Caenorhabditis elegans: one gene and its partners. The protein of the gene in region 2 purifies or fractionates together with the protein of the main gene of each other region. This does not show direct contact. Each region holds a gene or a part of one and is shown on either strand. Other genes may lie near its edges.

The links.
Region 1: the proteins of lys-4 (region 2) and fkb-2 fractionate together in Caenorhabditis elegans (co-fractionation; one large-scale study listed by BioGRID). This does not show direct contact.
Region 3: the proteins of lys-4 (region 2) and F53B2.8 fractionate together in Caenorhabditis elegans (co-fractionation; one large-scale study listed by BioGRID). This does not show direct contact.

The regions. Positions count from the first base shown.
Region 1 is NC_003279.8:12,914,400-12,924,661, forward strand, and holds fkb-2 (peptidylprolyl isomerase), read left to right. Parts: upstream 1-4,322; 5' UTR 4,323-4,327; coding exon 4,328-4,525; intron 4,526-4,578; coding exon 4,579-4,707; 3' UTR 4,708-4,881; downstream 4,882-10,262. Other genes in the region: fkb-8 (peptidylprolyl isomerase), read left to right, coding at 2,116-2,359, 2,775-2,974, 3,043-3,181, 3,235-3,437, 3,490-3,576; pfn-1 (Profilin-1), read left to right, coding at 7,641-7,766, 8,611-8,883.
Region 2 is NC_003282.8:11,617,780-11,629,290, reverse strand, and holds lys-4 (LYSozyme), read left to right. Parts: upstream 1-6,116; 5' UTR 6,117-6,192; coding exon 6,193-6,394; intron 6,395-6,985; exon of another isoform or gene 6,986-7,006; intron 7,007-7,352; coding exon 7,353-7,795; 3' UTR 7,796-7,862; downstream 7,863-11,511. Other genes in the region: F58B3.4 (NUC153 domain-containing protein), read left to right, coding at 1-469; lys-6 (LYSozyme), read left to right, coding at 1,356-1,557, 1,887-2,329; lys-5 (Lysozyme-like protein 5), read left to right, coding at 3,717-3,921, 4,553-4,995; dsl-5 (Delta-like protein), read left to right, coding at 8,353-8,403, 8,450-8,817, 9,248-9,375, 9,428-9,789.
Region 3 is NC_003282.8:12,521,832-12,532,583, reverse strand, and holds F53B2.8 (Coiled-coil domain-containing protein 86), read left to right. Parts: upstream 1-5,187; 5' UTR 5,188-5,364; coding exon 5,365-5,386; intron 5,387-5,433; coding exon 5,434-5,514; intron 5,515-5,733; coding exon 5,734-6,185; 3' UTR 6,186-6,353; downstream 6,354-10,752. Other genes in the region: F53B2.5 (Importin subunit alpha), read left to right, coding at 1,444-1,479, 1,874-2,044, 2,093-2,218, 2,263-2,400, 2,561-2,806, 2,856-3,029, 3,075-3,165, 3,213-3,286 and 2 more; Protein eak-4, read left to right, coding at 7,075-7,317, 7,367-7,531, 7,771-8,106; sru-13 (Serpentine Receptor, class U), read left to right, coding at 9,963-10,193, 10,463-10,672, 10,714-10,752.

The DNA of each region.
Region 1 (10,262 bases), on a different chromosome or scaffold from region 2:
TCATAGTTGTAGGCATCTTTTCATCTTTGTCCAGAACTGAGATATTGTTGAGCACAGATCTAGCATATTATGGTTGTCTTGGAGCTCACATCTCCGCAGCCACTAAAGATAACTAGAAAGTACCCACTAACAGAATGTTTTTCATATTGTTGCCAACAACTTTTCAATTGTCTACATTTTATTAATTCAAACACCAACAGAGTTATAAGTCTTAGAAAGTAAGACGTCTATACGCTCAGTCAACTCTAATTTGGTTAATTGTTTAGCTAAAAATGCAATATGAATGCCCAAACTTGTAAGAACTACCAAAATTGTGTTTTCTATAAAGTTAAACACTTTTTGAAAAAATTCCAAAACAATTTTTTTTTTCAATATTTTTTCAAACATAAGAGGGAAAATTTTAGAGCTGAAGATTCAGATCATAAAAGAGGACCCTTGTGATCCTTTGGAGCTGAAGATTCAGTTCATGAGTGGGACCCTTGTGATCCTTTGGAGCTGAAGATTCAGTTCATAAGGGGGGACCCTTATGATATTTTGGAGTCTTATCAGTGTTTTTATAATTTGAAAAAAAACCGGAATTTTTTTGAGAATTTATTTTTAAAAAATTAAAAAAATTTTCTTGTTAAAAATTGTCTTTAAAATTTGCAAATACAGTGTGAAACTATCACTTTCCGTATAAAAAAAATTGGAAGAAAGAAAAAACTAAATTTGAATGCGCTCGCAGAAGGTGTTCAACAGAGCGCGTTTGCTTTTCGAGCCTTTCGGGCGCATTAATTTGAAGTCTGTCTTTATTAGCCGAATTTCTGATAGAAGTTGCGATTTCTGTCCTATTTCTAATATTTTCAGCAATTTTTCACAAACTTCTCGCATTATCTTTAAAGGTCGGCTATTTTTAGCAACTTTTTTAAATAAAAAATATGATAATGTATGTTTTCTTTTTTTAAACGAATTTTTGATGCCTTCATTGTTTGTCGTGATTTTACTATTTTCTTCATGTCGCTCACGAAATGTTCGCCAAAACTCTGAAAGTATAAACAATTTATCCGCGTTTTCTTTCGATAATTGTCTGAATAGAGAATCTGTGACCTCAATTTTACCTTTTCGATATAAATAGGGTTTCATTTGCTGGAAACATTCCGATATTCATGAATTCCTTCAGAGAAGTTCAGTTCGACCATAGCCTCAAGAAATGAGATAATGAATAATTGATTCAGAGATAGTTTTTATCAATTTTCGACTGTGACTGAATGACTAGAAAAATTATCACGTGAGGTTGAAAGACAATTTTAAGTACATGTTTTGATAATGGCTCAGGCCGTAGCTAGAGCTTTTAAGGAACAATGGAAATACAACTTCTTGTAGGAGTTCGATGTGTTATCAGCGTTTCATTTTTTAAGCTTCAACAGATTTTTCCGCATCGATGAAACTGTAAGAAAAATTGTCGTCTTTCCCCGTGACTCTTTGCTTTGAGAAATCCGCTTAACACATGGTTCCAATTATCAATTTATATGCAAAGTTAAAACAATATTTTAAAAAAATAGTGTAAGCCTTACGAGGAGATGCAAACGGCAGCAATTTTAGCCGTTAGCCGCTTTTCTCGATTAGCCGAATTAGCCGTTAGTCTAAAATTTCGAAACACGGCTTAAACCGAATTTGCCGTTAGCCGAAAAAAACAGTTAGCCGTCCACCCCTGCTCCAAATGTGAAAATGTATCTTTCGCCGATTCCAAAAGTTAGAGAAACTTTATGTTTCCTCGACGATTTTTGACCATTCATCAGCTGCTGTTTAATCTGGCATTTTTGAGATTTTCCTCAAGTTTCTCATAAAAATCCTCACTTTCCACAAAACCCAGAATTTTCAGCATTTTTTTTCAATTTTTCTTGAAAATTGTCAGAGAGGAAATTTGTAACCAAGAATCTGCTCTTTTTCTGAATCACGAAAAAAAATTCAAGTTTTCTCATTTCTCTGAAATGATTCGCTTTGCTCCTTAACTGCAATGGAGTGGTTGATTCGAATCAAGTTGAAAAAACATAAATTTTAGTATCCGATAACATCGCGAAATAATAAGAAGGAGAACAGCTTCAAACAATATCAAGCAACATCAGATGTAGAACAATGAAGGACCAAAATGGAGTAGCAAGCACTGATGACTCTGTTTTACCTTCTTGGAGTAACCCAGACGTCGGACAATTCATTGTGTCGACGTACAATGAGTACGAATACAAACGGATCCCATTTCGTGAACTGGAATTCGGATGTCTTCTATGCAGGATGAGAACATTCAATCACGAAGGAATGAAAAAACACTTGAGGGATCACGTAGTCCACAAAAAATCTTCATGTGAGCACGAAAAACCAGGTAATTCGCATTTTGTGTGAAATGTACACTCAAAATGAAAAACTGCGTGGCACGTACTGCAGAAAACATAATATTTAGGCCCCGCCTTTTTCTCGTCCACTCACGGAGAAAAGGCAAAAATCGGAACCCAACCAATATCAGGCCGCCGACATCTCACGGGTACCGCGCGCCGCTGCGTTTAACTCGCTGTGGGCGTGGCAAGTTGTCTCCGTGAGATGTCGGCGGCCTGATATTGGTTGGAATCCCGATTTTTGCCTTTTCTCCGTGAGTGGACGAGAAAAATGCGGGGCCTAACTAAATATTAGGTTTTCTGCAGTACACGCCACGCAGTTTTTTGTTATTTGGAGTGTAGAAGATATATAAATTACAAAAACTTTTCTTATTTTTCAATCAGAAATCTTCTATTTATTTTTAGGTAAAACTGGAATTCATCATCAAGTTGACAAAGCTGGAAATGGTGTAATGCCAGAGAATGGGCAACTTGTTCAGTGCTACATCGAAATTAAGCTTGCGGATTGCTACACATCTTGGTCCAATTACGAGAGCCAAAATCCGATTATCTTTAAAATTGGATTCGGTGAAGTCATTCCTGGTTTAGATATCGGAATCCCTAAGGTATGTACATTTTTATTGATTTTTTGCAGAACTCAATTTTTATAAATAAAAATTCAATGTTCTTTCAGATGAAAGTCGGTGAAATCGCAACATTTCACGTGAGTGGCAAATATGGTTACGGCCGCGCTGGGTTCAGAGGACTGATTCCTCGAAACGCTTCCCTAACTTGCAAAGTTAGGCTGTTCAATTGCTCATGGGACTCATATGGTAGATTTCTCCTTATTTTTGAGTTATAAATCTTAATATTCCCTCTTTTTCAGCAAAAATTGGCGTCGATAGACAGATTCTCGTCCAGGGCGACAACGTCACCAAGTCAAAGAACGGTCAGACCGTCACCTGCCACTACGTGCTCATCCTTGTGGACGGAACGAAGATCGACTCTTCTCGCGACCGCGAAACTCCATTCAAGTTCAAGATTGGAAAGGGAGAGGTCATCAAGGGATGGGACCAAGGAGTCGCCCAGGTTTGTACATCGATTAGCTCAATTTCAATATAAAAATTCAATTTTCTTTCAGATGTCAGTCAAAGAGAAGTCGAAGCTCACGATTGCTCCGGCTTTTGGCTTTGAAAAAGGCAAATTGCCAGCAGGAATCCCAGCGTAAAATAAAACGAATTGGATACATGCTGCGTACTTTATGAACTACCGTAGCCAGGAGAAAAATGTTTAAAATCAAAACTATGGTATTAATTTTTGTTCACTTGTTGTTGACACGATTGCCATAAATTTCAATTTTTAATTAAAATGCTTTGAAATTTTATTAATTTCCTTGTTTTTTTATTTATTTCTATCGAGAGAACTCATTTTCAACGATTTCCGAGAAAGAACAAATTTCTCTGAAGAGACGCAGACACTTACCTTAAAGGCGCATGCAATTTCGCGGCAGCGATATCTCGCCACGAACAGTGTCGCGCCTTGTTCGATTTTACTCTCGCCTCGTAAACAACCCATTTTTGCTTGTTTTTCACCGATTTTTGGTCATTTTTCAGAGTTTCTTATCGAAAAAATCATGTCAGACGCCCACTTTTCAATGACAAATAGTTGTTCTTCGAAAATTCAGTGTTATTTTGGCCTAAAATCGGCTAAAACTCTGGTCATCAGATTTTTGTTTACTTTGCCGGTTTTTTCCTGTTTTAGGCCATTCTTCTGGAGTTTTCTATCAAGAAAATCAGTAAATCAACTGAAAATCAGAAAAGCAACCTTATTTTCGAGGCAGAATTATCGATTTTTGAAAAATAATTGTTATTTTGGCCTAAAAACAACTTGAACTCGCCCTTGAACAATTTCTTCCTTTTCTTTGCCATTTTCTCTTTATTTCTGAGTTATAAATCTTAATATTTCCTCTTTTAGCAAGAATGGGCGTCGACAGACAGATTCTCGTCGAGGGCGACAACGTCACCAAGCCAAAGAACGGTCAGACCGTCACCTGCCACTACGTGCTCACCCTTGAGAACGGAAAGAAGATCGACTCTTCTCGCGACCGCGGAACTCCATTCAAGTTCAAGATTGGAAAGGGAGAGGTCATCAAGGGATGGGACCAAGGAGTCGCCCAGGTTTGTCCATCGATTAGCTCAATTTCAATATAAAAAATCAACTTTTCTTTCAGATGTCAGTTGGTGAGAAGTCGAAGCTCACCATCTCTGCCGATCTTGGCTATGGACCACGCGGAGTTCCACCACAAATCCCAGCCAACGCAACTCTCGTCTTCGAGGTCGAGCTTCTCGGAGTCAACTAAGCTGCCCGTCTCCGTTTGCAGCTCCGTTTTAGCAGCTGCCGTGTGCAACCTCTCCATAAATGATATCAATTTTTTTTAATGATTCCAAGTTTTCTTTCTTTTTCCCCCCTTAATTTTCTCTGTAAACTAAATATTTCTTCCTATCTAAGTAGCATAAATTATTTAATCTTTAAAAACAAAATGGTTTTTCTCTGTGCGTGTTGACGTGGCGTTTGTGTGTCCTTGAAGTCGAAATCTCCGATTACCTTGCCAATTTTACTCTTTTATTCTTTTCTTTTTCACTTTTTTGCCTCACAATTCATTCGTAATTGTGTGCGCGGGCGATCCTTGCGTAGCGCCCGTCTTTCTCAGAAGACCATCTGTTCTCCATTTTCGAAACAATTCAGGCCTCCTGTTCATTAGAAATACACAAGACGAGAGGCGGAAGACGCCTCCCCTTCGATGATTCATAGTTATTTTTATCATTTCAGATTCCTCCGCCCAGTGGGATGGTTTAAAAATCATTGAAATTCGCCATTTTTACACATCTTTTCTTGAAAAATCTCCTCTTTTTTGTCTCCAAAATTGATTTTTCAGTTTTTCCGACGTTTTTCCACTAGAAATTGGCAAAAGCCAGCGAAAATTGAGCAGAATTTAGCTAAGAGTACGGTAGTCGCCTAAGTACGCAGAGTTGCGTACGATGCATTCCATTTGACGCGCAAAATTTTCTGATCGCGAAAAAAGATTTTTGACCTCAATTTTTTGATCTGCCCGCCAATTTTCGTCGTGTTTTTCGAGAACTGGTCGAAGAGGATGACAATTTCTTCATTTTTCCACTTTTTTGGCCGGTTTTGTGACGTTTTTACCGATTTTCCGCAGGTTTTTCACAAAATTCTCGCGTTTTCTCCCAAAATTGATATTTCCAGCAGTTTTTTCCGCGTTTTGTCTCGGTTATTGCCAGAATATATTTTCCTCATTCTCTAGCAAATATTCGCTAATTTTCCTGATTTCCACCCTATTTTCTTCCGGAAAGTTCAGTTCGTTCCATTCTTGCTTTAAAACTGTAAGGAAGGAGCGGAAATAGGTGATTCAGAAAGAGTTTTTTATCAATTTTCGGCATCCGATAACGTCGTGAATCGAGAAAAATAAAAAAGCTATAAAAATTATCACATAGCGTAAGATTTCGACTAGAAAACTCTCAATTTTCCTATTTTTTTTGATGAAATTTCAGCTCACAGTGAGTGTTTTGTAGAAAAATGTAAAATTTTCCCCATTTTCCCCATTTTCCGCTTTCTGGAGTTTATTCGTTCGATTTACTGACAAAATCTTCGGGTTTTCTGCAATATTTATAGAAAAATCCGGCCAATGCTACGAAATTTCTGTTTTTCGCGGCTCTTTTGACTATTTCGTGACTTTTTTGGGGCTTCGATCATCAAAATTTCGAATATTTTTATGATTTTTGAGCATTTTGATGTATTTTTTTTCTTCTAAATGACTTTCAGATCTCCTTGGCAGAAAAAACTGCGAATATTATAACAACTTGAAGCTTCCTCGACGATTTTTGGCGACCTGCTGTTCCATGTGACTCACCATTCCAATTTCGCAATCCACTGGTCATTCTCGGCATTAAGATCCATTTTCAGCGCTCAATTTCGCAATTTTCAAAGCTAGAAAGCTTTGTTCAAATTGAATTGTTTCGCAACTCGTCTTCTATCGCCTTTTGGTTCTCTTTCTCCTCCGTCGTCTTCGCTGTGTTCTCTTCAAAATGATTCATCATTGGCTTTGGTTGTGTCTCTGGGTCTGTGTGTTCAATATAAATTGCAACTGCATTTGACATTAGTATGGATTGAGGCGGGTTATTTCACCCTCTTTTAGTAGTACACACACATTCAATTTGATGGGCGGTCTCTGTCTCTCTTTTCGTCCTTTATGGGTGAATAACTGACCAGCGGAGCAAGCAGGCAGGAGCAGGAGCACAAGCTCGTTGTTCGGGTTGAAAAGGGGAAGAAGGAGAGCACCAGATGGCATGCAAACATTCTCTTTCTCTTCTTCTCTCTATTGCTTTTCCTCACTGTCATTCACTGCTTCTCCATTTGCCCAGCCAATTAGATGGAGTGTTCCGGGTGGTCAAAGATGTCCTCTAGTTTTCGTAGCAATTTTCATCTTTCGGAATTTGAAATTGGAAGTTTTCTTTAATTTCTCTCAATTTTGGGTCATCTGGCGATTTTATGCCATTTTTCTTGTGAAATTAAATTCTCAGATTGCTCTAGATAGTTCAAATCCTCTAGTAGTTGAAAATTCGCCTCAAAACGTTGCTTTTTTAAAAAGAATTCTCCCTTAAGTTGGTCCTAATTTCTCGAGGCGAGATCTTCCAAAAGCTGAATTTTTCCAAGTTTTCTACATCTGAAACTCGAAATATTTACTATTTTCGTAGTTTTTGGTAGTTTTCGGTGTTTTCGAGCTTCAATTCCGCCTTTTTGGCCTGAAAATGGTCTGAAAATCATCGAAAATTGGTCAACTCTAGGTAAAATGCCAATTTTGGTTTAAATCGGCTCAATTCACAGAAAATTTCCAAGAAATTCATGAAAGAAGCTCAATTTTTGCACTACATTGGCGAGAAAATTGTGAATTTAGTGAGATTTTGTTGGTTTTTGTCATTTTATCCATTCGCAAGTTCTTCGCCACCAACTTACACCACAGATAAGCAAAAAATCTGCGGAAATATCAATTTTTGGGTATTTCGGCATTAAAATTCCATTTTTTGCGCAGTAAATCAAAAAATAATCGATTGTTTACAAAAACCGTAATTTTCAAGCGATTTTATGCTCTTTTTCTCCTAATTTGTGCTCTTTCTTCATATTATCATTTCTCATTACCCCTCCAACCATCTCAATCATAATTTATGTTTATTTTTTCAGTATAATCTCCGCTTCAACCTCCTCCAAAACACAAAAATGTCCGGATGGAATGCCTACATCGACACAATGACTGCCGCTGCTCCATCAATCAAACGGTGTGCAATCGTCGGAGCCGCTGATGGATCTGTCTGGGCTCGTACTGAGGCTGACAATGTGTTCAAGGTATGGAAATGGACGAAAATCATCGAAGAAGCTCGAGAAAAAATCGATTAAAACTGGAAACGATTGAAAAATCCTTAAATTGACCCATTTTTGAGATTGAAAAGAGCTAGCGGGGTCGATTTTTGTTGGAATTTTCGCATTTTGACCCAAAAAACTGAAAATCTCGCGAAATTATTCACTTTTTGAATTGAAAATCGAAATTTTTAGCCGCTGAATTTACATTTTACAGGAATAATTAGCAAATCCACTCAAAAATTGCAAAATTTTCATTATTTTTCGAACAAAATTAAAAAATTCCAGATTAGGCAGGCTTCAGGCGGCCGTGCCTGCCTACCAGCCCCTGTTTCTCATATAGTTTATACTTCTTCGAAACCCAAGTAGGCAGCAGACAGGCTTAGGCTACCTTGAAGGTCAGGCAAGTTACCTGCCTGACTACCTTCGAGGTGGCCTGCCTGATACCTACATTAGAGCCTACTTGTATTTCAGCCGCCTGAAGCCTGCCTACTCTGGAATTTTCTAAACTTTTTTTTTTCAGATTTTTCAATTTCATGAAAATTTAGAGTTAAAAAGCGTTAAAAAAAAAATTAAAATTCGAAGATTTTTTCCTGCAAAATGTAAATTCACAGACTGAAATTTGTGATTTTCCAGTATCTCGGCCAAGAATAAGCCGATTTTTTTGGAAATTTCAGTGTTTTGAGGCCTAAAAATGCGAAAATTGGGGAAAAAGGCTAACTTTAGGGTTACTGGATTTAAAATTTCGAATTTTTGGAAATTTCAAAGCGCAAATTTTTTAACAAGAAATATTTCCTGTCCAAAAACTTCTCTAATTTTTTCCAATTTCCAGGCATCCGAAGAAGAGCTCAAAACCTTCGTTGCCCTATTCAATGACGTCACTCAAGTTCCAGCAAAAGGAGCCGATATCGAAGGAGTTCATTACGTCGTTCCACGTACCGAAGAATCGCTCATCTTCGGAAAAAAGGAGAACACTGGATTCTTCGCTGTGAAGACCAAGTCTGCAGTCTTGATTGCTGTCTACGAGGGACCAAATGAAGTTGCTGCACAAGTTCGCAAGGCTGTCGAGAGTATGCAAACCTATCTCAACAATGCTGGATACTAAATACTTCTCTCTCTATCGATTGTTGTTCGATTCGTATTTATTCCCGCTTTTCTCTATTTTTTTTTTGCAAACTTCCCCCTTCTCCCTTCTCCCAAACCTTGATTTCTACGAGTACAACGATGAAATTCGGTTTTCTTCCGCGTAATCTTTCCCTCAAAACTCCCATTCCCAGAGCAAACACAGAAACAGTTTTTATTTCACTTTCAGCTTTATCATAATGTATTGTATTCCCCCGTTTTGTTTTCTAGTAAATTCATTGCCAATTCAATGCCTTCTCGATTATTTCATTTTCATCTCCCATCGACGGAGAAAGAGAGTGAGAGAAGAGTTTTGTGCTCGGAGCAATTATCGCGTGTTTTTTTCGAAACCACGCCCACACTGCAATTGTGCGGCGCGGTTTTTTGGTCAGAATCATTTTACAGATTTTTATCATCGTTTGCAAAAATCGTTTAGAGAAAAAAAACTCGGAAAAAGATGTCTAGAAAATGAGGGAAAAACAATTAAAAAGTAATCACATTTGTCAAATGAAATTTTCCACAATATCTTACGCGAATGGGTCTCGCTAGGCAGACAACACGGTTACTGTAACTCCTGTCGGTTTACAGTAACCTGTTGCCAGCGTGGCGAGACCCGTGGGAGTGAGATATGGCGGAAATTTTTATTTTTCGGCGTCTTCGTATTATTTTTTATGAGAAAACCCATAAGAGTACGTAAGAAAAAATGGCCGAAAGTTTAAGCTTTTCGAAAATATGGAATTTTTCTATATATCGGAAAATCATAAATTTTCGTCTCAGAAAAGGGTGCCGTTTTTCGATTTTTCAATGTTTTTAGGGAAAATTTTCGATTTTCCGAAAAATTTCATTTTTAGAAAAATCAAAAACCGAAAAAACTGCTCATTCCAGTATGATAATTCAACTTTTTTAAATTCATAATTAAAATATTACGTATTTGGCGCACAAGATATGTCGTAACGAAAACTACAGTAATTCTTTAAATGACTACTGTATGTCGATTTACGGGCTCTATTTTCGTATTGGATTATTTTTCAATGCTGGTTTCCTTTTCATAAGGAAACTCCCAAAAACGGAAAATAATATTTACGAATATCGCTGACACAATTCGAAAAGTGATTAATTTCGATAACCAAACCCGTAAATCGACACAAAGGGCTACAGTAGTCATTCAACGAGTTACTGTAGTTTTCGCTTCGAGATATTTTGCGCGTCAAATATGTTGTGCGATACGCATTTTCAGAACTTAGTGCTACCGTAATATAAACAATTGGAAAATGCTTTCCCTATCGAAAAGTCTGAAAATGACTTCAAAAACCGTTTCAAATCAATATTTATGCAATTTTCAATAGAATTAATCAAATAATC
Region 2 (11,511 bases):
TGGAGAATATGTTAAAGTAGATGATGATGATGAAGAGATTGGAGTAAAGCAAAAGAAAAAGAAAGGATCTGATGATGATGAAGATGAAAAAGAAGAGGTAGAAGAAAAGAAAGAAGATGTAAAGCTCACAGGATACAAAGCATATAAGAAGAAACAAAAACAAAAGCTGATGGAAAATAAGTTGAAAAGAAAGGGAACATCAAAAGAAGCTGAGACTAACATCAAGACCGTTGCTGCAGCCGACAGTATCTCGAAAGACGACCGTTTCTCTGCTTTATTCACCGATTCTGCATATGCTATTGAGCCAAGTTCCAAGAAATTCAAGGGATCGCTTCTTGTGACGAAGCAGGCTGAACAAAAGTCTAAAGGATCTAGCACTGTCATCGAAACGAAGAAACCCGAGGATCTCGTTCAGAAGTTGAAGAAACAAGCTGATAAATGGAATAAGAAGAAGTCTGTGAAAAACTGATTTTATTTTTATGTTTTTGTTCTGTTATTTTTTATCGTTACGTTATGAATTGTTTTCCATTGCTTAACAATTTCTTGGTAATAGGAATATGACCATCTTGCAAATAATTTGGAACCATTGACCATTTCATTACAATGCGGAAGATAAGAAATTGGGCTCGTTTGATAAGCATTTCCGATTTGTTAAGAGTGTCACGAATCGGATTATAGTGAAGATGGAAAGATCGCATTGGATTTTGAGTGTCAATTTCCAGTTTTCAACTTAAAATTTATTACCCTGACGGGGATAAATACACACTTTTGTGAATTAAAAAGTTTTTTTCACAATTTGTAAAAATGTAAATATGTGTTTTTATTGTTTTTATCGAAAAAAAAAATTAAAAACCTATCAAAATTCCATAACAGAATACGTTTAAAATTGCAGTACTCTTCAAAGGCACCCGACACAATATTGCGAATTCATAATAGGTATCTGCTTCGAGATAAAAATACAACTTTCATTATTGTTGTACTTTCTCAATATCCTGAAGCGAATTTTGAACTATAAACGTTTTCTCGCGGCGAGACCCAAGTTCTGTCCGACAAATTTCGATCGTGGTGTGGTTCACAGTTTAATTTCTCTGGCGAAGAAAAATTCGAAAAAATGATAAGAATTCGAAATGATAATTTTTAGTCTCTATACAATTTGACGAGTCACTCCTTAAGTTTAGCAAATACATCAGCAATTAAAAATTGCACTCAAAACTCAAAGAAAACAATCTTGATGTTTCATCTCCAATCAATGCCTCTGGATCGACGTCAGAAAATCGTTTAAAACGAATTGTGTCCGGGTTTCCGAAATCATATAAAACAATCAAATTGTGAAACAAAAACTCTAGATTCAAAATATGAAGCTCCTCGTCTCAACTCTTATCTTAATCAGTGCAGTCAGTGCCGTCAGAAATGGAATTGATTTCATTCAGCCAGTATCTGTTGCTACATTCACTTGTGTTAAAAATGCAGGATATTCTTTCGTAATTCCAAGAGTTTTTACTTCTGTTGGAACAGTTGATCATACTGGAATTCAGAATGTGGCCAACGCAAGAGCAGGTGATTTTTGAAGAGACATTTGAATTACAGTACCATTTGATAGTTGGGTAACACATTTTAATCATAATAGAAACATTATCTGTCAAAAATGCAAAACTATTATGCAAAACTATTGTTAACGCCAAGCCAAGAGCCTATTAGATTACGGTCAGCGAGTTCAAATGAGGCTTCAAATGGTAACGTGAGAATTCGAAAGTTTTAAAATTAGTGAAATCAAAAGTATGAAGATAACTTCCGGGTATACTGTTTAAATTTTCAAAGAGGCTTAATGGTTACTGTAGACTCCCAGTGTAGCTAGAAGTTGTTTGATTTTTAAAACACTGTTGCAGCTGGCCTCACTGATGTCGATGGATACATCTTCCCTTGCCTAAAATCGACTTGCGCATCTGCTGCTAACCAAGTTAAGGCGTCTCTTGATGCAGTTAAGGCTGCTGGAACTAAGATCTCCACTCTATGGCTTGATATTGAACGTCTCAATTGGCCAGCTGATCATGCTAGCAACCGTGCATTCATTGAAGCAATGGTCAGTGAAGCAAAGGCTTATGGACAACAAGTTGGAATCTACAGTAACTATTACAATTGGCAAGATATTGTTGGATTGGATTATCATGGACAATCTAGTTTGATGCTTTGGTGGGCTGCATACGATGGAGTCAAGGATTTCTCGAAGTTTGCTGCTTTTGGAGGATGGTCATCACCGACAATTCATCAATGGGAAGGAACTACTGCTGGACCATGTGGGGTCTCTGTTGATATGAACTATGTTCCGTAAATAGTCACTCGAAATGTATTCGTGTATTTCAAATAAAGTATTGAAATATTTTTCACATTCCTTTATTTTTATTTTATTCAGAAAAAGTCACAACATGTGGTAGCTGATGGCTGTTCACAGTTATGAATTCTGCGTTTTTTCTAGTTGTTTATAAGTTTTACCATTATTTGTATCTCTAGTATCATTGAGGAAGAAAATTTCCCTATTAAGTACTGATAACTGTGAACAGATTCAAAAAGATAGTTATAACATTAGGTTTATGTTGTTTTGGATTTAATTTCATATAATTTCTAATTGAAGTTGGTCTTTATAATGAAAAAAAGGAAATAAATTATAAGAAATAACGAAGAGGAATATTGAAAACGCCTAGTTTTAAAGTTGGGGGCGGAATGCTTTGAAAAAGAGAATTATGAAACTTACAAAGGTTTAGAAAAAGTATTCGTCAATTTTGTGTTGGCTCAAAATCTCAAATCTCAAAAAAAAAAAACAAATAGAATATTGGACGACCCTCCGAAAGTCAGAATGTAGTATGTACAAAGAAATCTCTCTGTCAGGTTTTACAACCACCGAGTACGTCCACATTGTCACATGTTGTAAACAGCCGATAGAGACAAAGAGAATCCCGAAAGGGAGGCAACGCAGATTGCTCTCTATTATTTTTACAACCATTCAGTGTTTTGAGGATGCATAAGACAAATACCAAACTGCCGAGTATACAACGTCACACTCGGAATAAATAAAGATGATTTATAGAGTCAACCGAAAAAGGGTACATGAGGTGAATACTGGTTCAACCTACCTACAGTCCTGCGTACAGATTTTCTACTCTGGAAACTTTGGCTATATATTTTTGGGTTTTTTATAATTTTAAATCCCGATTCACGAAAGCGTTCTCAGGGCGAGAGCCCGATTCCGCGAAAATGTTCAACGTTTTCCAATTTCCATGTACTCCTTGGCTATAGTGGACCTGTCTGAATTTGTGCTAGACCCAATTAGAAGACAAAGAATATAAGTACAGTAAGTGGAAACTAGAAAATGGTTTGGAAGCCAACATCAGTTGCAAAACCACGTGCAATCAAACAAAACCAAATAATGATAGAGAGAGAAGGAAACATATGATAATTTAGTCTAAAGATAATTTAGATCAAATTCATGTTGGATTGAACATCTTGATTAAGAATTCAGTCGTAGATCTATTCTCAATATTTGTTATTTTATCATTTTAACAATATTTATTAACGAATTGAAATGAAAAAAAAAAGAAACAAAATATTGAGCTCTCTTGAAATTCCTGATTTTATCTTTCCGCTTGCGTCAAAGTCATAAAAGTCTCCGGTATCTGGGAAGTATAAAAGAAGTGTATGGAGTCTGAAATGTCTGGAGAAACATGAAGCATTTTTTCATTACAATCCTTCTTTTCTGCAGTGTTGTAAGTGCAGCTAGAAATGGAATTGATATCAATTCACCAGTATCCACTTCTACTTTTACTTGTATTAAGAATGCTGGATTTTCATTCATAATTCCCAGAATTTATCATTCATCGGGAAGTGTAGATACTGTTGGAGTGCAAAATGTCAAGAATGCCAGAGCTGGTAGGTTTTTTAATGAATTAATATGTATGCTGTGAATCATATTCATTGAATGCCCTATATTTATTTATGAATACATTAGAGACTTACCTTAACTATTAAGGTTACTGTAGGAAAATGCGCAAAATATTATATTCTGAATCTTCGCTTTCTTGGAATTTAGGATGTGGCAGCTTTTTGTGGAAATTTTTTACAGTAGCTTCGTGGCGAGAACCACCATTTGAATAGGACAAACGACAACTGAGATATTAATTGTCAAAGTTGAACAATGGGATGCAAGACTAATAGAGGAAATATTACATATTAAAATTTTCGAGCTAAAAATATTTAAATTATGTCTATAGAAAGGTAACTTCATTTTAATTATAATAGAAACATTATCTGTCAAAAATGCAAAACTATTATGCAAAACTATTGTTAACGCCAAGAGTCGAAACTCCTATTAGATTACGGTCAGTGAGTTCAAATGAGGCTTCAAATGGTAACGTGAGAATTCGAAAGTTTCAAAATTAGTGAAATCAAAAGTATGAAGATAACTTCCGGGTATACTGTTTAAATTTTCAAAGAGGCTTAATGGTTACTGTAGACTCCCAGTGTAGCTAGAAGTTGTTTGATTTTTAAAACACTGTTGCAGCTGGCCTCACTGATGTCGATGGATACATCTTCCCTTGCCTAAAATCGACTTGCGCATCTGCTGCTAACCAAGTTAAGGCGTCTCTTGATGCAGTTAAGGCTGCTGGAACTAAGATCTCCACTCTATGGCTTGATATTGAACGTCTCAATTGGCCAGCTGATCATGCTAGCAACCGTGCATTCATTGAAGCAATGGTCAGTGAAGCAAAGGCTTATGGACAACAAGTTGGAATCTACAGTAACTATTACAATTGGCAAGATATTGTTGGATTGGATTATCATGGACAATCTAGTTTGATGCTTTGGTGGCCTGCATACGATGGAGTCAAGGATTTCTCAAAGTACGCTCCATTCGGAGGATGGTCGAAGCCAACAATTCATCAGTGGTCTGACACCACTACTGGTCCGTGTGGAGTCTCTGTTGATATGAACTACATTCCATAAATAATTTTTTAGCGCTTTAATAATAAAGTGTATATTTCAGTAAACAACATTCGTTCATTATTATGATTTATTCATTCCTTTAATAACGTTTGAGAATTGCTCCGAGCAATTCAAAGTAATCTGAAAAGCATCGAAAATTACTTGAAATTTAATAAGGAAATTCAGTTTTCGATGACTAATTTTTATTTTGAAACTACTAGAAAGTCTATTCCAACTTTTATAATAATTTCTGCAATAATTATTGAGGAATTCCTTAAGGAATGATACAGTACGCAAATGAGGCATGTACGTTATTATCAATTTTTGTGGAGTATTTCGTCAATTGATCACATTTTGATGCCATCGTCGGTAGCAGAAATCACGTGCAATCAAATAATGATAGACGAAGCAAAAAGGTTGATAATGTAGTCTAATGTGCGAAGTTCAAATTGCTAATCGAAAAATAAAACACATTGGGGAGTTGGGTTTTCAGAAAACTCGGTATATTTGAAATCATCTGAAAATCGGCTAATGACTTTTAATACAATTCCCGGTATTTTTTAGGAAGATGTACCGTCAAAGAGAATAAGTCATGAGCTCAAAAGCTTTCTAGGTCACAGCCGACCTGTGATCTGAAGCAGGGAACAAATCAAGAACATAATCACGTTTTCAAGCATCTAACTTTAAGCACCTTATGTTTTCTCAGCTTTTCACGCTTCCAAACAGATTAATTAAGTTATTTTCAATAAACTGTATAAACTTCAAAAAATTTACAGATAAACAATGAATTTCACAATGTTTGGATTGAAAAATTGATAATTTCTTTAGTGTTAATTTAGGCAACGCCAACAAACCACGCACAAGCCTGCTGCCGGGACCATTAGCTTGTAGAAATAATACAGTACTCGGGAGGGTCGAAGGTTTCAATTTTAGTTCTTTTGATCTCATTGTTGCAAATATTGAAAAACGACGAGAGATAACGGTCGAGAAACCCCGAGAAATATTTTCGAAAATGAGACGAAAGTGTAGTTGCTCTCCATATTTTGTTTCATATTTTACATCAGCCTCTGAATAAAACAAAAAAGATAAGAGAAGAGGGTTTATGAAGTTTTTGATTTTATCTTTCCGCTTGCGTCAAAGTCATAAAATTAGAATCTCCGGTATTTGGGAAGTATAAAAGAAGTGTGTGAAGGCTTAATCAGGGGAGTTCAGAGAATCATGAAGTTCTTCGTCTCGGCTTTGCTTTTGATCGGTGCTGCAAGTGCAGCTAGAAATGGAATTGATTTCATTCAACCAGTGTCTACTGCTACATTTCAATGTATTCATAAGGCTGGATATTCTTTCGTAATTCCAAGAGTCTTTACTTCTGTTGGAACTCTTGATCATACTGGAATTCAAAACGTCAAGAATGCTAGAGCAGGTGAGCATTTCAGATGGGTATCAAGGAATGGTTTTTACCATTTTCAAAATAATTTCCATTCTTGGCAATTTGGTTCTCCTTTCCCTCGCGATTCTTCGCCTCACACTTCTAACTTATAGGTCTGTGCATACTTCCTAGTATAAGTTATGAGTATTAAATTTGTAAGAAAATACTTAAACTAACAAAATCTTATCTCTTTTTCTTATTTCTTTTTGTTTGTTTAAAAACTGCCATCAAATAATTCAAATACACATATTCCCAAAAGTCAAGATGTAGTGGTCAATGAAATATCTTTTCGTTACGTTTTACAACCATTCATTGTCCCCTCTGACTGTCTAGTTTACCAGGGCATGCATTGTCACATGATTGTAAACAGAGTATGGAAAAATAATAATATTCAAATATATTTGTCAATAGGTTGAATATAGAATTCAAAATTTAAACTAATCTTGCTCTTTAATATGTTTTACAAGTATACATACAATGCATCTAGTGAGTGAAACAATATATTACCTCTTGAAACTAAAAAATGAAAAAAAAAATTACAGTTTCTTTCTAAGTATTATTGTCCAGAATAGCAGAAAATTCCAATTTAGGTGATGGTTCGACTGAAAATGTAATATGAATGTTCAAACTTGTAGGGACTACCACAATTATGCTTTTCTAAAAAATTAAACATTTTGGAAAAACTTCCAAAAGAAAAGTTTTAGGTGAAAATTTTTTCAACCATAACTAATCATATGATCCTTTTGAGCTGAATATTGAGACCGTAAGGGGGCCCTTATGATCACTTTAAGTTGGAATAATCAGATCATAAGGATGAGCTTTATAGTATTCCAAGTCAATTATAAGCATTGTACGGGTTCGAACATTCAAACTGATAATATTCCAATTTATTAAAACATCTGAAGTTTTCTACAAGTTTCATTCAGTACCAAGCTAATTACAAATTTTGCAGCTGGCCTCACCGATGTCGATGGATACATCTTCCCATGCTTGAGATCTAACTGCCCATCTGCTGCCAATCAAGTTAAGGAAACTCTTGATGCTTTGAAGAGTGCAGGAACTCATGTCTCTACTCTCTGGCTTGACATTGAACGTCTCGCTTGGCCAGCTAATCACGCCAGTAACCGTGCATTCATCGAGGCAATGGTCAGAGAAGCTCAAGCTTACAAGCAACAAGTTGGAATCTACAGTAACTATTACAATTGGCAAGATATTGTTGGATTGGATTATCATGGACAATCTAGTTTGATGCTCTGGTGGGCAACCTATGATGGAATTAAGGATTTCTCAAAGTTCGCACCTTTCGGAGGATGGAGCAGACCAACAATTCATCAATGGGAAGGAACCACTACTGGCCCATGTGGAGTCTCTGTTGATATGAACTATGTTCCATAAATAGCTGACCAAAATGTATAAACATGAATAAACAAATTTTTATATGTAAACCCATACATTTTCGCTAGTTTCAGACGCGCAATTGATTTCTTGATTTTTTGAAACAATTTAAAACTGTAAAACTGACAACAAATGGGTCAGTTTTAGAACATTCGAAAATTATGTTTTATTTTCAATAATTTTTTGTTACTTATTTAAAAAATTTATCATTATTGTTCGGAGACTTTAATTATATTCTCATTCAGAATTGTTTTCTATTTTTTTAAATCTAGACCTGTGAGTTTCAAGTGAGTTTCGGCCAAAATAGTAACATCAAAATGGCTTTACATTTCAAAAAGCAGATACGGTAAAACTTAAATTTTTGTTCTCTTTTCTTTCAAAACTATTATGTTGTTGATCTTCTAGACACGTTGTCAAGTCAAAATGCGTAGTGATGACGTCACTTGGGGTAACCTTGAATTACACAATTGACCTCAATCGAATCAAAATTAAAGTTGACGAGTACAAATATTTAGTCTTGTTTTTTTGTTTCTCCATCTCATTATCAACATTTCAACATGCAACTTCTTGCGATTTCTTTCTTATTTATAACTTTTATTATTGAATCGGTGAGATTTTTTGAACCACTGTAATTTTAAGATTTTATTTTTACAGATAATTTGTTCTGGATATCTAGAATTACATATTCAAAGTCCTCATATACAAACCGCAATTGTGAACATCTCATCAAATTTTCGAACAGAGAAATCAAAAATAGTGCATTTAAAACTTAAATCTAATGTACCATTTAACGTTACAAGGATTCCTGTGAACTTTGATAATATCTACAATATAACCATAAAATGTGGAAAATCAGAGGAAGATGGCAAGTTTAATTCATATTTTAAAAATTCAACTCCAAAGTATTTGGGTCTAACTGACACAACAATTGTCTCAACTGTTCACCCACGTGTTGGGCTGTTATCACCGGCTGCTGTAGCCAGACCTTTAAATGGAATTCGAATCGTTATTGGTTGTAATAAGTAAGCTCGTTTGTCTTGAAATTGGATTAAATGTTTGTCACAAGACAACTTAGAAATCACACGGTACTGTAGAAAAAAAAGTAAATATATCTTGTGAGCATGTTCTAGAAATCTAGGATTTCGTCTGGAAATTTTTTATTTGGAATTTTGTATTCCGTGCAATTTCTATTGATGACAGTGAATTCTGGTTATAGAGCTAACGGAAAAATTGGAATGTTGCTCAAATTCTTTGTTTATACTTGACATACTTGACTACGGTTCTATCATAAATTTCATTGTAAAATCTAGCTTTTGAAGAAAAGTTTGTCAAAATGTCATTTTAGGTCCTACAACATTTCAGTTCATGATTATTACGGCTGAAAGTCTGAAAGTCTAAAAGAGAAAATATACCATTTTTAAATTTTTTTTTGAATCTGTATCATTGTTTTAGAAATTGGTTTGGTGAGAAATGTGAAACTTTTTGTGATGAGAACAAAGCAACCAACTCGGGAAAACACTGCAATTTTCAAGGAAAACCAAGTTGTTTGAATGGATTAACTGGGTCAAAGTGTGAAAAACGTGAGTTGCATATTTTTAAAACTAATCTCTACGTGAGTTTTATAAATTGCAGTCATTGTTCCAAAGTTGTGTAACTGTGAGAATGGTGGAGTTTGCATTGATTCAAATCCAAAACCAATTTGTGAATGTTCGAAAGCCTATCGCGGTGAAAAATGTGAAAAGAAGCATATATCAGCGTCTCTTTCCTCACATTATAAAGGAGACTTTTGGAATTTTCGAATGACATTTTGGCAGTTGATATTCTCGAATTTAGTTGAGAATGAGTTGGCAGAGATTAGCAAATCGGAAGCTTGGGAAACAATTAATAACCTATTGGGAAATGTTTCTGATACTCCGTTTGCAAATCGTCCAAATAATACGGAAACATTCCCAATAACTGGTTCTGTTAATCTTGATAATGTTGATATCATTTAAATTTAAGTTCTATAAAATCATTTGAAGTAAATAAAAACATTCACAGCTTTATTGTGATTCATTGTGACAATTTCATGTATAAAACAACTGAACCATTTATTTATCAAAATATTGTACCATTTTAATAAATTTTCAAGCTCTAACAATTGAAGTTTGCCCTGAACATTAAAAAAATGGAAAGCTGCTGGAACATTTTAAAAGTTGTTGTTTTTCTCTTAGTATTTCCTAATATTTTTTAGATGGTTTCCGATAGTTATGGGAACGTTCTGCTACATTTTTAGTGTTTTTTTTTATTCTGAAAACTCGTAAAAGTAAAACCATAAATTTCATAATTTTTGAGAAGTATCAAAATTTTCTAAATTAACGTCGAAAAGTTGTGTATTTCTCAAAAGGAACTCATCGCGTTTTCCTGGTAACCTCTCTTGTCTTTTCAATAATACGTCTTCCCACATGCAGATTTGCAGGCAACAGTGGTCAACTACTCAAAGGAAAGCGACACCAATCTATATAGTCTCCCCAGAGAGAGAGAGGAGAGAGAGAGAGAGAGAGATCTTCCCAGAAGCCTGGTTGTGTATGTGATTCTATATCGATCGCTATGTGCACACCGAAAACGCCGCGTTTGCAGCCCCCTAGACCGACTCCAATGTTTTCGGTCATTCATTTTTTTGCTTATCCCCCCTTCTTGTGAGTGCGATCCACTCAAATATAAAGGGTTCCTGGCGAGGGCCATCTGATTAGGGTGCTTGCACTAGGCCAATTTGGGGACTCGTGTTCTGTGGATCAGTTAAGGAAAACAACCCTAGGTCTTTTAGCTGGTTTTGCTACAGCTTTCTTTTTTGTCCTGAGTTGATTAGTTTGAAGAAGATTTCCGATCAAAATTTTAACTTTTTAGCTAATTAATTTTTTTTTCAAAAAAAGAAGAGTTGTAACTCTTCTAATCTTTCAAAGTTTTTTAAAGTGCTCTTCTTGTGATTTTTCAAATTTCCATTCTCTTCTCCCCTTATCCTTCTCCCTTATCCCTTCCCTTTTACCCTCTCCCCTTCCCTTTGCAAAATCGATGAATGGATGGATCGACGATGGATGGATCGACGATGGATGGATCGACGATGGATTTTGACAACTGTAATTGGAACAGTAATCTCGATCGAAGGATTTCTCTCTCCTTCTTTTTTCCCATTCCCAATTTCCAATTCTCACATAGATAGAGCACTCTTAGTCTTATAGTCTGAAACTTCTAAGGACAGAAGTTTCTTAGAAATAGTTCTTGTAGTATTCAAAGTTTTCTTTTCCAAACAGAAGTTAGTTAATTTATCTAAACTTCTAAATTCTGTTATTTATATTAAACTTCTACACACAGAAGTTAACTTCTACAAACAGAAGTTCAAATATTACACCTTTTAGACAACTGTCTAAAACGGAAGATCGGAATTGAGGCTTAAGCTTTTCTTATACCGAACTCAGAGGTAGTGAATAAAGGCTAATTGACCAATAGGGAATGCTAGTACTTCTGATCCTAGATGAACAATGTAGAACCGATGTTGTGTCTTATCGGGTGGTTTTTGCTATATGGTTCACTATTGAGTGATATTGTGCAGTCCTAACGGTATAGGACATCACTTGAAGAAGCAACTCCTATTCAAAACTATCGCCACCAACTGCATCAACAACAAGCAACAACAGCACGACGAAGACGGAAAGGAAGAGGACGACGACGAGGAGGTA
Region 3 (10,752 bases), 900 kb from region 2:
GGTTCAAAATTAGTATTTAAAATTTTGAAACTAAATAACACAATAAATCACGAACTGTTTTTTACAAAAAATACAAAATTTAACCAGTTTCAAAGTTTGACTTTGAATCACGGTCTAAAAGTCATAATCAGAATTCAGTAATAAGTGCTTGCAACATTCTCCCAGGTGAAAATTTTCATCATTTTCATTGTTGGAATTACGCAACAGATTCTGTATCTGACGTTTGACATTTTTGAACCCCGTATTTTGTTCAAATTCAAATTCAAATACCCTATCCGTCGTCCATTTCTATTTTCCAATTTCCGGCGGCAATTTGATGGGATAGTGATATGACAATCTGTTACTCATTCCCTTTGGCGGTTTTTGTAGAGAACAATTGCACTTTATTCTAGATTTAAATTTGAGTTGGGGAGAAGTTGGACAAGATGGGAACACGGGTGTGCTAGAAATATTATGAAGATTTATGAGGAATTATATAGTAATTAATAAGTAATGAAATAAGAAGACTAGATGCTTAAATTGCTGTTAAATTAGAACTACAACCATGGTTCTTCTTTTCAGCTGTATCGCTAAAGTTTGGCGAGCGGCATTACATAAGAGACGTCACATGGATAACTGATATTTGACTCAGATTAATGCTTATAAATATGTCGTTCGTTAACAAATGTATGCGAAAAGAAGACTTTCCATTTTCGGTGGAAGGACTCAAATTCGGGCTCCATTTCATTGCAGCCCATGTTTCACAGGATCGATTTTAATTCAAAAATGTTTAAATCTCGCATGTGTGACATTCTAATTTCCCCTTGCTCAAGATAAAATCTTTTTTCAAGAACTTGTGTGAACACACATTCGACCTCTAAAAATTCACAAATTCTACTGTCTGCGTTTCATCGCTCCACGTTCTATCTTGCCAAATTTTCCTCGATTAATTGACAGCTTCACAGGAGATAGGTATCTATAGATGGAACCGAGAGGAACACACAATTTGGCGTATGTTATTTATGTATTAAGTTGGCATCGTTCTAGATACTTGTTGGTAGATCGAGGGAAAGTCACACTTGATCCCGGAGAATCGTGGGAAGAGAAGAAGAGAAATTTAAACTAAGAATAGGGAAGATTCACACTTGTTGTCTGCTAAGTGCTAAAACCTAGTGACCTAGGTTATGAACGGGCATTAGATTTGGAACATGTTGTGTAAAGTGGGAAAATTGAAAATTCACAAATTCTCTTTGCAGGGATTTCTGCTTACACTAACTATAAGAAAGTTCAAATATATTTTAATAAGAAGTGTATTAGATAATTAAATTTTAAAAAATTCACTCAAAATCACTGCAATTCTTCCACGCGATATTCCATTCGGATTTTCTCATACGTGCAAACAAACACGTGGAACTTCCAATGAAATCAATATAACTTTATTTCTGTTTTACACTCGCGGAGAATATGGTTAAATCTACAAAGAAAGCGAAGCAGGAAATGGTAAGAGTATATCAGAATCAGACGGCTGGCAAATCGGATGTTTCTCTTTTTTTATGCTGCAATGGTTTACCAAGAATGATTTTTTTGGCGGGGCAAAACCTGAATTTTTTGTAGTTGAGTTGCACTCGCGCTCCAACGCAAATTGAAAACCATAATTTGGTGGTCGTTATGTATGTTAAACTGTGATCTCGATTTCTTATTATGGATGGGACCGTTTTCATTTGACATTGGAGCACAATTGCACTTCCATCTCAAAATACACAGTGTTGGCTCGCTATAATGAAATTCAAAAAAATCTGATACGCAGAAAGGAAAGCCAAAAAAAAGCATAACGTCCGACTTGTTAGCCTCACTCGGACGGCAACTTTCTATCTATACTTCAATTTTTATACAGAATTCCCAACCTGAACAATCAGCAACATTTGACATTTCCTTTATCATCTCAATGCTCGAATCCTCATGCCGTATTCAACTGTCCACAGCTCTACACTTTTTTCGTAAAGCTTTTGCCAATCAGTCAGATTTATCGAACATCGCTCTGAAGGAGCAGTTTTATGGAAGAATTGTTAGTTCCGACGAAATTGTTTCAATTAATTCAAACTCTTTTTTTTAGAAGAATGGCGTTCTCAATGCTCTTCGTAATCAAACGTTAGACATTGACAGTGAGGTTAACGCTGTTTGGATTATCACTAATATGTGTTGTATTAGCCAGGAAGTTACTCACTTGTTTGTAAACTCGGTCAGTCTGAAAATTGATTTTTAGGAAAATTGTTTTTTTTTCAGAATTGTCTAGATATCTTGATCAAACTCGTTCGGTCTCAAAACGCTCGTCTCTCAAGTCAAACTGTTTGGGCAATTGCAAATATTGCAGCTGATTGTTCTTCGTGCAAATTGAAATGTAGATCACCTAAACTTTTGAAGGTAATTATAAGGGTTTGTAGGACATTTTAGAATCCATCCACAGCACAAATGAAAACAACTGTTACGGCTGCATTTAGGCGCTTTAGGCAGGCGCTTCAGGCAAGCGTCTGGCCTTTGAAAGCATGCCTGTCTACCATGTCTAAATAAATTCCAACTTCAGATACTCGCCAGAAACTTACAAACGTCGTATAAACTCGACGATGCAGACCGACGCCAACTCATTTGGTGTGTCAATAATATTTTTTCCGGTGGCCGAACAACGATGCCATCACCAGTAGCTCGTTCACTTATTTGTGCTTTGTCTGCAATTTTACTCGACACAGACGCTGTCGATAATATGGGATGTGGTTCAATGATTTTATGGACTCTTGCCAATTTGGTTGACAACTCACTAGATACCACACGGGTTTGTTTTCGGATTATTGTTAATCAAAGTTCTTTACTAAAACTTTCAGATCGACATGCTTCTTTCCCAAAACTACGTTGTTGAGCATATTCTCGAAAAATTTATTGATCAAACGGACAAGTCATGCAATGTTTCATGCCTCCGCCTTATTGGAAATATTGCAGTCGGGAATGATGTTCAGACTGATCTGTTGGTTGATAATCCCAAGTTTAGAGTTGTTATGGTACGTTTTTGACATCAAAATTGAAAATTAAAAATATTTTTTCAGAATATTGCAATGTCATCTCCGGAGCATCACAGTGAAGCCGCATGGATCATATCAAACGTTGTTGCCGGTGCTCCAAGACACGTGGATTACAGTTAGTTTTATATTTATTTGATTACTGAATAGGATCTATGTTTTCAGTAATGGATGATCCAGATGCTTTCTATGAATGGGTGATGGCTGGGATTCATACTGGAGACAAACGCTTGAGAAAGGTAAGCTGATATAAAATTATATGAACAGTATTTTATTTATTAGACATGCACCACCATTGTTTTACATTGACAGGGCATATATCTCGATTCACTTCCGTTTTATCAAAAAATTGTCAACTGAAGAAATACGTGCAAAATGTTTTTCTACGTTTTGATAGTGAAATTGTTTGATAACACTTGAGACAGTCAAGATATGAGCCGTCAAAGTGAATTAATGAGGGTGCAAGTACAATAGAGACAATACTGTAGTTAGCTTTGAACACATCTTTTGAAACAAAATTTATTTTCGAGCTTAGAAATTATCTATGGTTATTTCAGGAATGTCTGTGGATTATTGGAAATCTATTGGCAACTGCAGATGAGCATCAAACGTATCTTCTCGTCTCCTTAGGAATAGTACAGCATTTTCCAGCTCTTCTCGATTTTGATGATGTTCGTTTGAATGAAAAGGCGGCGACAACTGCAACTGAACTGCTCCGTGAGCATCCATGGCAGTACACATTGTTCCAACGTTTGGATATTTTGGGATGTATTGAGAGAGCTGGAGCAAACGTTAGTTGAATATCCTTAGACTTAACAATCCGTGTGTTTCAGTTTTCGATTCAAAAAGCCGAACTGAAATCTTTGATGAATGACTTGGCGCCACCTGAACGGAAAGATGAAGATATTGCCAAAGGATGTTCTGTGATTTGCTACAGCAAGCTCTCAGACGACTTTCACAGCATGAGCATTTGAATTTACTCGTTTGAAAATAAAAATACGAATTTTGATTGTGTAGGTTTAAAATATCAACCCATCAATCAGCAGAAAATGTTGTCTAATTACGTTTCTGTGATATTTAAAATTACTTGAACATTTCCAATACACCTGTTTTTATTTGTTCACTCGAATTCCAATCAGATTACTGACAGATTACTGGCTCTTCAACTGCGATTTTTCTACCGGTTTGTGTACTCTTTTTGGACAATTAGATGTTATGTGCACTTCCTGAACAGGTGCATAAACAATTGATGAGATGATGATGAATAGATGGATTAGGAATGGGGGAAAGAGGATTTTAAATGTTTTTGGAACATAGGGGGTAATTACCGGTAATTGATTTTTTCCAAATTTCTTCACTCCTAAAATATTTCAAGTTTTCAGGCAACAAAATGTGAGAAAAAGGATTTTTTTAAAGTTAAATATGATCAGTAAAGTGTCGGCTTCCATGATTTTTACAAATACACAATTATTATAACATCTCTTTTAGGTTTTTAGGTAGATTTGCATTAACTTTGCCAAAACTATTCGACTCTTCCAACTACAAAAATGTTTTCCAGTTTGAATTCAAATACCCGTCGTCCTTTTCTATTTGCCAATTTCCGGCGGCAATGTGATGGGATAGTGATATGACAATCTGTTACTCATTCCTTTTGGCGGTTTTTGTAAGGAACAAAAGCACTTTTTCTAGATTTGAATTTGAGTTGGGGAGATGTTGAACGACGACGATGAGCTGTTAGATGTTTTAAATCTTGAATTGTATAGTAATTCATAAGATTAAAAATCAGAAAACTTAAAAACTTAAATTTGAATATAAATATACCATAACTTTATGTCATCGATAAAAATTGGTCACACAGTAAAAACCGAGGGTTGCTGTACCTGGCAGTAGTCTGAAAAAATCAAATGTTAATGAAAATTTCGAATATTAAAAAATTTAAAACATTGCCTAAGTTAAAATTTTCGAAATGCTGAAATGCTTTGGGTGTAATATTTGTTAAGCATATTTCTAGTGAATTTTGTAGTTAAAAATTTCAACACTTTGATTTCGCAATCCCGTCACCCATCTTTTCCCTCTGGGTCTCACGATTTCCCCATACTTTCCAATAATCTTTCCTGTCAACATTCCCATTTCACATGACATTTTCAATTTTAATACTACCTTACTCATAGTCAACATCACTATTTCAGAATTCCACACTTATAAACATTATTGATGATAAAAACTCTTTGATAAGAAATTGATACAAAAACCCTCCTCAGTGCCTGCAATTTCAGTGGTTACTTGTACTGCTAAAATCAATTGCTTTGAACTGAAAATGCCAATGGGCAAGAAGTTGTGTAAGTTTTTAAAGTCGAGAAAAATTTGAAAATGCTCAAATTTACAGTGGGAAAGCTTAAGAGAAATAAGGTGGAGGAGCCACAGGTGGAGCCGGAGGAGGATTTGGGAGATGCTATGAGTACGCAAGGTTAGTAAGGAATTACATTTGACTTTTAGTGTTGAGCGTCGATTGTAGTGTTCGGAAAATTTTAGTTCACTGAACGGTATAGCAAATACGCAAATTTGACGCGAAAACTTTATAAACAACAGATTTGACGAGCAAATTATCGTAATAAATCTATGTGATAAGTCTAGTTTACGTTTGGCAGATTATATTACATACTCGAATGAGATTCGCAAATTTCAGAAAAAGATGACGTGAAAGTTGGGAAGAAAAGAGCCCCGAAGAATAACATGGGTGGAAAGAAACGACTGAGATCCAAGCTGGGAAATGTTGGGAAACACCAGAAAAGGGTACGCTCCAAGGAAAACACTCCGGAAAGAAAGCTGGAAAAATTGGAGAAACTCGAACTTCAACTGACCTTAAAACGAAGTCGAGAGGAGCAGAAACGAGCCAAAAAAGATAAGAAACTGGAGAGAAAAGCACTGAAGATTCAAAAAAAGTTGGAAGCTTTGAGAAGCATCAAGGAAAAACCACATCAAGGCTCTGAAGCACAAGGGCCAAAAGTCCCCAGAGCCAGAAAGATCCGGGTACCAGCCCCAAGACCACCCCGTCTTCCATATTTGGCTCTAGTCGCCAATCTTCATAAGGCTCCGAAAGCATTGCGTGATATGAGAGCTGCTGCTTCACGCCGTTAGTGTGGGCTTTGGATCATTTGGAAGAAAAAAAAATTGTTAAGTGGAAAATTAATAAGAAGAATATGAATCTGGATGTCAAATTTAATTTGTGGACGTTTTGAATTTTTCACTTTGAAGTTTTTATTTGTTAATAAAAAATGTTTGATTCAAAATTTACAAATTTCAAATCAGCATACCAAAATCTTCGAAATGTAATCATGATTCATGAGAGGTCTCGCCATGAAAACTAATGGTTATGGTAGATTTTTTCAATCTTATTCGAAATTTCAATTTGAAACTTGATCTTCAAAGTGAGACCACATTTCCCACTAACGTTTTTTATCTGCTCACTATCAGATCAAATTTAAGATTCAGAAAACTTGCTAGCTACAGTAACCGACACGTTTTGTAGTGAGACCCGATCTGCTTCGTAAAAATTCACATCTGCCTTGTAAGGAGACCTACACCTGATTCCTGCCTACAAAACGTGCCTATAGACTTGCAAAATTATTTCCGATCCTTTAATTGTTTGCAAAAATTCAGATGCCTAGGCAGTAGGCAAGCTTGTAGGCAGGCAAGAATACAGTAGGAGGAAACGTGCTTGCCTACTGGAATTTGGGAAATTTCTTCATAATCCGGTAAATTAAATTTTAAGGAGAATTCAGACTGTTCCCACAGCAATTTAAATCCACTTCCCTTTCCAAATTTCTGTGTCTCACTCCACTTTTGTTATAATTTTACGAATTTTTATTGCTTCCCCTTTTCCTAATTTACAGTATTCCTTGTTATCGAAAATATGTATGAATTCTGAGAAAAATTGGTCAAAAAATATAAAAAGACAAAAAACAATTAGCAGCCCCAGACCATCTCGACAATTTCCCCCATTCATTCTTACTTCCTCCCCACCATCATGGGACAATGCCTTGCCGTTCATCGCCGAATCATGGCGTCACAGGAGTTTCCGAATATTCCTCAGCCGGAGTCGCAGTGTCATGATGCATTTATCCGGTATTCCCCAGGAAGATACGAACGTCGGGCTGCACGATCCCAAGTCGACTATTATCTACTCCCACAGGCACCGCGGTTGATGACTGAGGATTTGGATAAGAAAGAGTTTCAGCGACTCTATGATGCTCGTTGTGAGCTCGTTGAGGTGAGATCTTTCACAATTTAATTTTGAAAAAAACCTTCAATAATTTCAGTGTCCAGCCGGAAGGCGTGCAATGCAACTGGATGTTCAGATCTATGCGGATCGTTATGAGGCGACGCTCAACAAGATTTTGGAGACTTCTCAAGAGCTTGACAAAGGCCTTGAAGACATTTTCCAGGCCTACACAAAAGATGATCCACTGGCTGATAAGGTTATGGTGAGTGGTATTTCGGAAGGGATTAAGGGAAATCAGACGGGTTGCGTAACTGTCAAAATCATTCATTCTGGCGCGCCAAAGTCATGCCCAACTATTGCCCAAGTTTAGCCAACTTCTAATCCAAGTTAATATTTTTTGGGTCAAACTTGGACAAGAAGCTAGAGCCAGATCCCGGGAATGTATCAATATGATCAAATTCCTTAACCTCTATTTTACATGAAAAATTTAATTATATTTAGAACTGCCGCTTGACCGTCGACGAAATGGGACGAGTGTACGAGCACTTCTTCCGCGAATCGGCATGGAACCTTGACAGCTTCGTGGAGTACCGGAAGAATCTGGCACGAGATGCCTACTTGCTGCTTGCGGATCTGAAAATCGCAATCCAACGTCTCGGCATGCACTTCAATCCGAACTTTGAAGACGCGCAAGTCAAGGTGGACTTCCAGATTATGCAGGCCGAGCAGATCATCTTTCACTTCAAAAGGACATACAGGGACGCACTGAAGCACAACCCTGACTCGATTACAGAGTTTGTGGAGGACGAGCTGGAAGATCCTGGAACACCGTTGTAATTTTTATTGTCATTCTTTTTCTGCCGTTTTCTTATCCTTCCCCATTAGTTACTGTAGTTCAGTCTTTTTTGAATTTCAATAAAACTACAACAAAATCAACATTTTTCAGTAATACATAATATTCTTTAATTTTGCAATGTATGTCTAGACAGCCAAGAGTTAGAAGAATTATAGAAAAGGAAGCAATTGTAAAGAAAAAAATACTTTTCGAACTTCGGTTTTCATATTATGTATAATCATGGGACGAATAAAAAGACAGAAAAAAATAATTTAAAAACAATATTTTAATAATTTTGATACAGTGGCCAAGAGGTTTCGTGGTAGGATCCTAGGCAAGAAATGGGTCCTGAGTAGATGTGAAACTTTTAAATTTATAAGCCTTAGATTTGGAAATTTAGATTTGTTTTCAAAATGAAAACATCCGATTTAAGATTAAAATTGAGTGAAACTTGTTGAGAGATTTAAATTATGTCACCATATATTCCAATTGAACAGAATTTTGTGGTTGCTGACCAAGTCTGATGATGAGCCAAAGTATATGGCTAAAAAAAGTAAAAACTACTTGTTCTTCCTGATGCGTCGGTATTGATATTTGACTGTAATCACAAAAACCTTAAACTTCGAAAAATCGAGTACATTTTTCAGCACATGTGTCGTGCGGTGATCTCAACTCATAATTACGCCCAACTTCGAATCCCTGAATTATACCTCATGTGATGCCACATTTTCTCAATTGCTCGTCATGTCTAGCAAAGTGTGTCTGAATTTTATTTCATAACAAATTATAGCAAAAACGTGTAGTTTTGCTGTTTCGCACACTTGATGCTGTTACCATAAATCTGAATCAGTTTTTGAGAGCAGATTTTCAAACGGTTTCAAGTTTTTCAATTTTTTTTGGAAACTCACATCTTAAACCTTGAGTATTTCTTACAAAAACATTTTCCTAATTTTTAAAAACTTTTCATGACGCATGAATGAATGCAAATAACGGAATTTCCAACTTTTACAAAATTTAATTTTAAATTTGAGAAGATTATTGTGGTTATTTTAAAAAAAACATCAACCTTAGCTTTCCGTAAAATGATTTCCGATTTTCCAATTGTTAGATAATTATATTTTCACCTATTTTTTTATGCGGAACCAATATTTGATATTGCAAAAACCATTACCCTTTTTATGAGCTGTTTACCATTTATAATTCCCAGTATTTGCCAATTCAAAATTTCCCACCGGGAAAGTCCTTGTTTTTCTACATTTTCTGTTTTCTGCAACCATTAAAACACTTTTTCATAAAATGCATCATCTTTTGTACATATGTCTTGTGAGGAGCACTACTCATAATTACTCTAAGTTTTGAATCACTGTGTGTTGCCAGGTTTTCATAATTGCGTGTCTAGTAATCTTTCCCTGACATTTTTCAATGAAAAATTCTAGCAAAAAAAACAAGGTTTTGAGGAAAGATAAGCTTTTTGGCAACAAAATAATGCTCTAATGTAAAGATGTAGAGGAGCATAATTTTAACTTCTAACCTACATTTATTTTTAGCAGATTTAGTCAAAAAATATGCACTCTCTTCTCACCTTTTTTACCCTAATCTAATCACCAAAATGAAACATTTCCAGTCTTTAACCCTCGCAAAATTTATTATTCAAATCAAGATAATTTGGGTTATTTTGGAAACGGAAATGTCTAGAAAAACGTGCGCTTTTTAAGTTTAACTGCACTCATGAGCATATCAATTAGGATTTGGTCAATTTTGCGTTTTATCTATTTCCTCAAATTAATATTTTTCTTGCTCATTTATGACATATTTTAGACGTTTCAAATAAATTTAAAAATTCCAGAGATTTTAATTTATGGACATTATGAACAATGTATCAATTCAAGGAGATCAACGATATATCGACTATAAATTTGATTTTTTCACATTTCCAGTGCTTGTTGCATGTGTTCCGATGACATACTTAGTACCAACTGCGTTTATTATTTTAAAAGTTTTCAAATGTTACTATAGGAATTTGGTTGGAAAACAGGAAGCAACTATGAATCCACACGTATTTTTTGTGATTGTTATGGCTCAGCTTACGGTGGGGTTTGAGAGAAAAATAAACTAAAGTGGTTTCGCAAATTCCCGAAGAAATTTAAAAAAGAAAAATCCGACAAACGTTCCTTTGTATTTTTCATTAAAAAATTTTAACACCTATTTGTGAACGTGTCCTGTGAATTTTCAAAGCTCTCTGATACTCTTTTGCTTTAGTATTATCTTATAGTCAGTATTTTAAAGCAATTTACCCATCGCAGCGACAAGATTAACTTCAAAAACACATAAAGTTCATGAAATGGTTCTTATTTTCAGAGCGTATTTTACATGATATCTGATTATATCACTATCCGTCTCCCATTCACCGGAATCATGACATCTTGGTGTGCATCTCAACAACCAAATCATTTCCTAAAAGTCTTATTTTTCTTTTCTATATATTTCACTTATGTTTCATGGCTATTTCCATTCCTTTTATCAACGTTACGATTGATTCCCGTTTATTTCCCGCGCAGACATAATCAAGTAACTCATGTTTTAATATTCAATTGCTAAATTTTTTTTAGCTATGCGCCCGGCTATCTAATTTTGCAATTCCATTCATC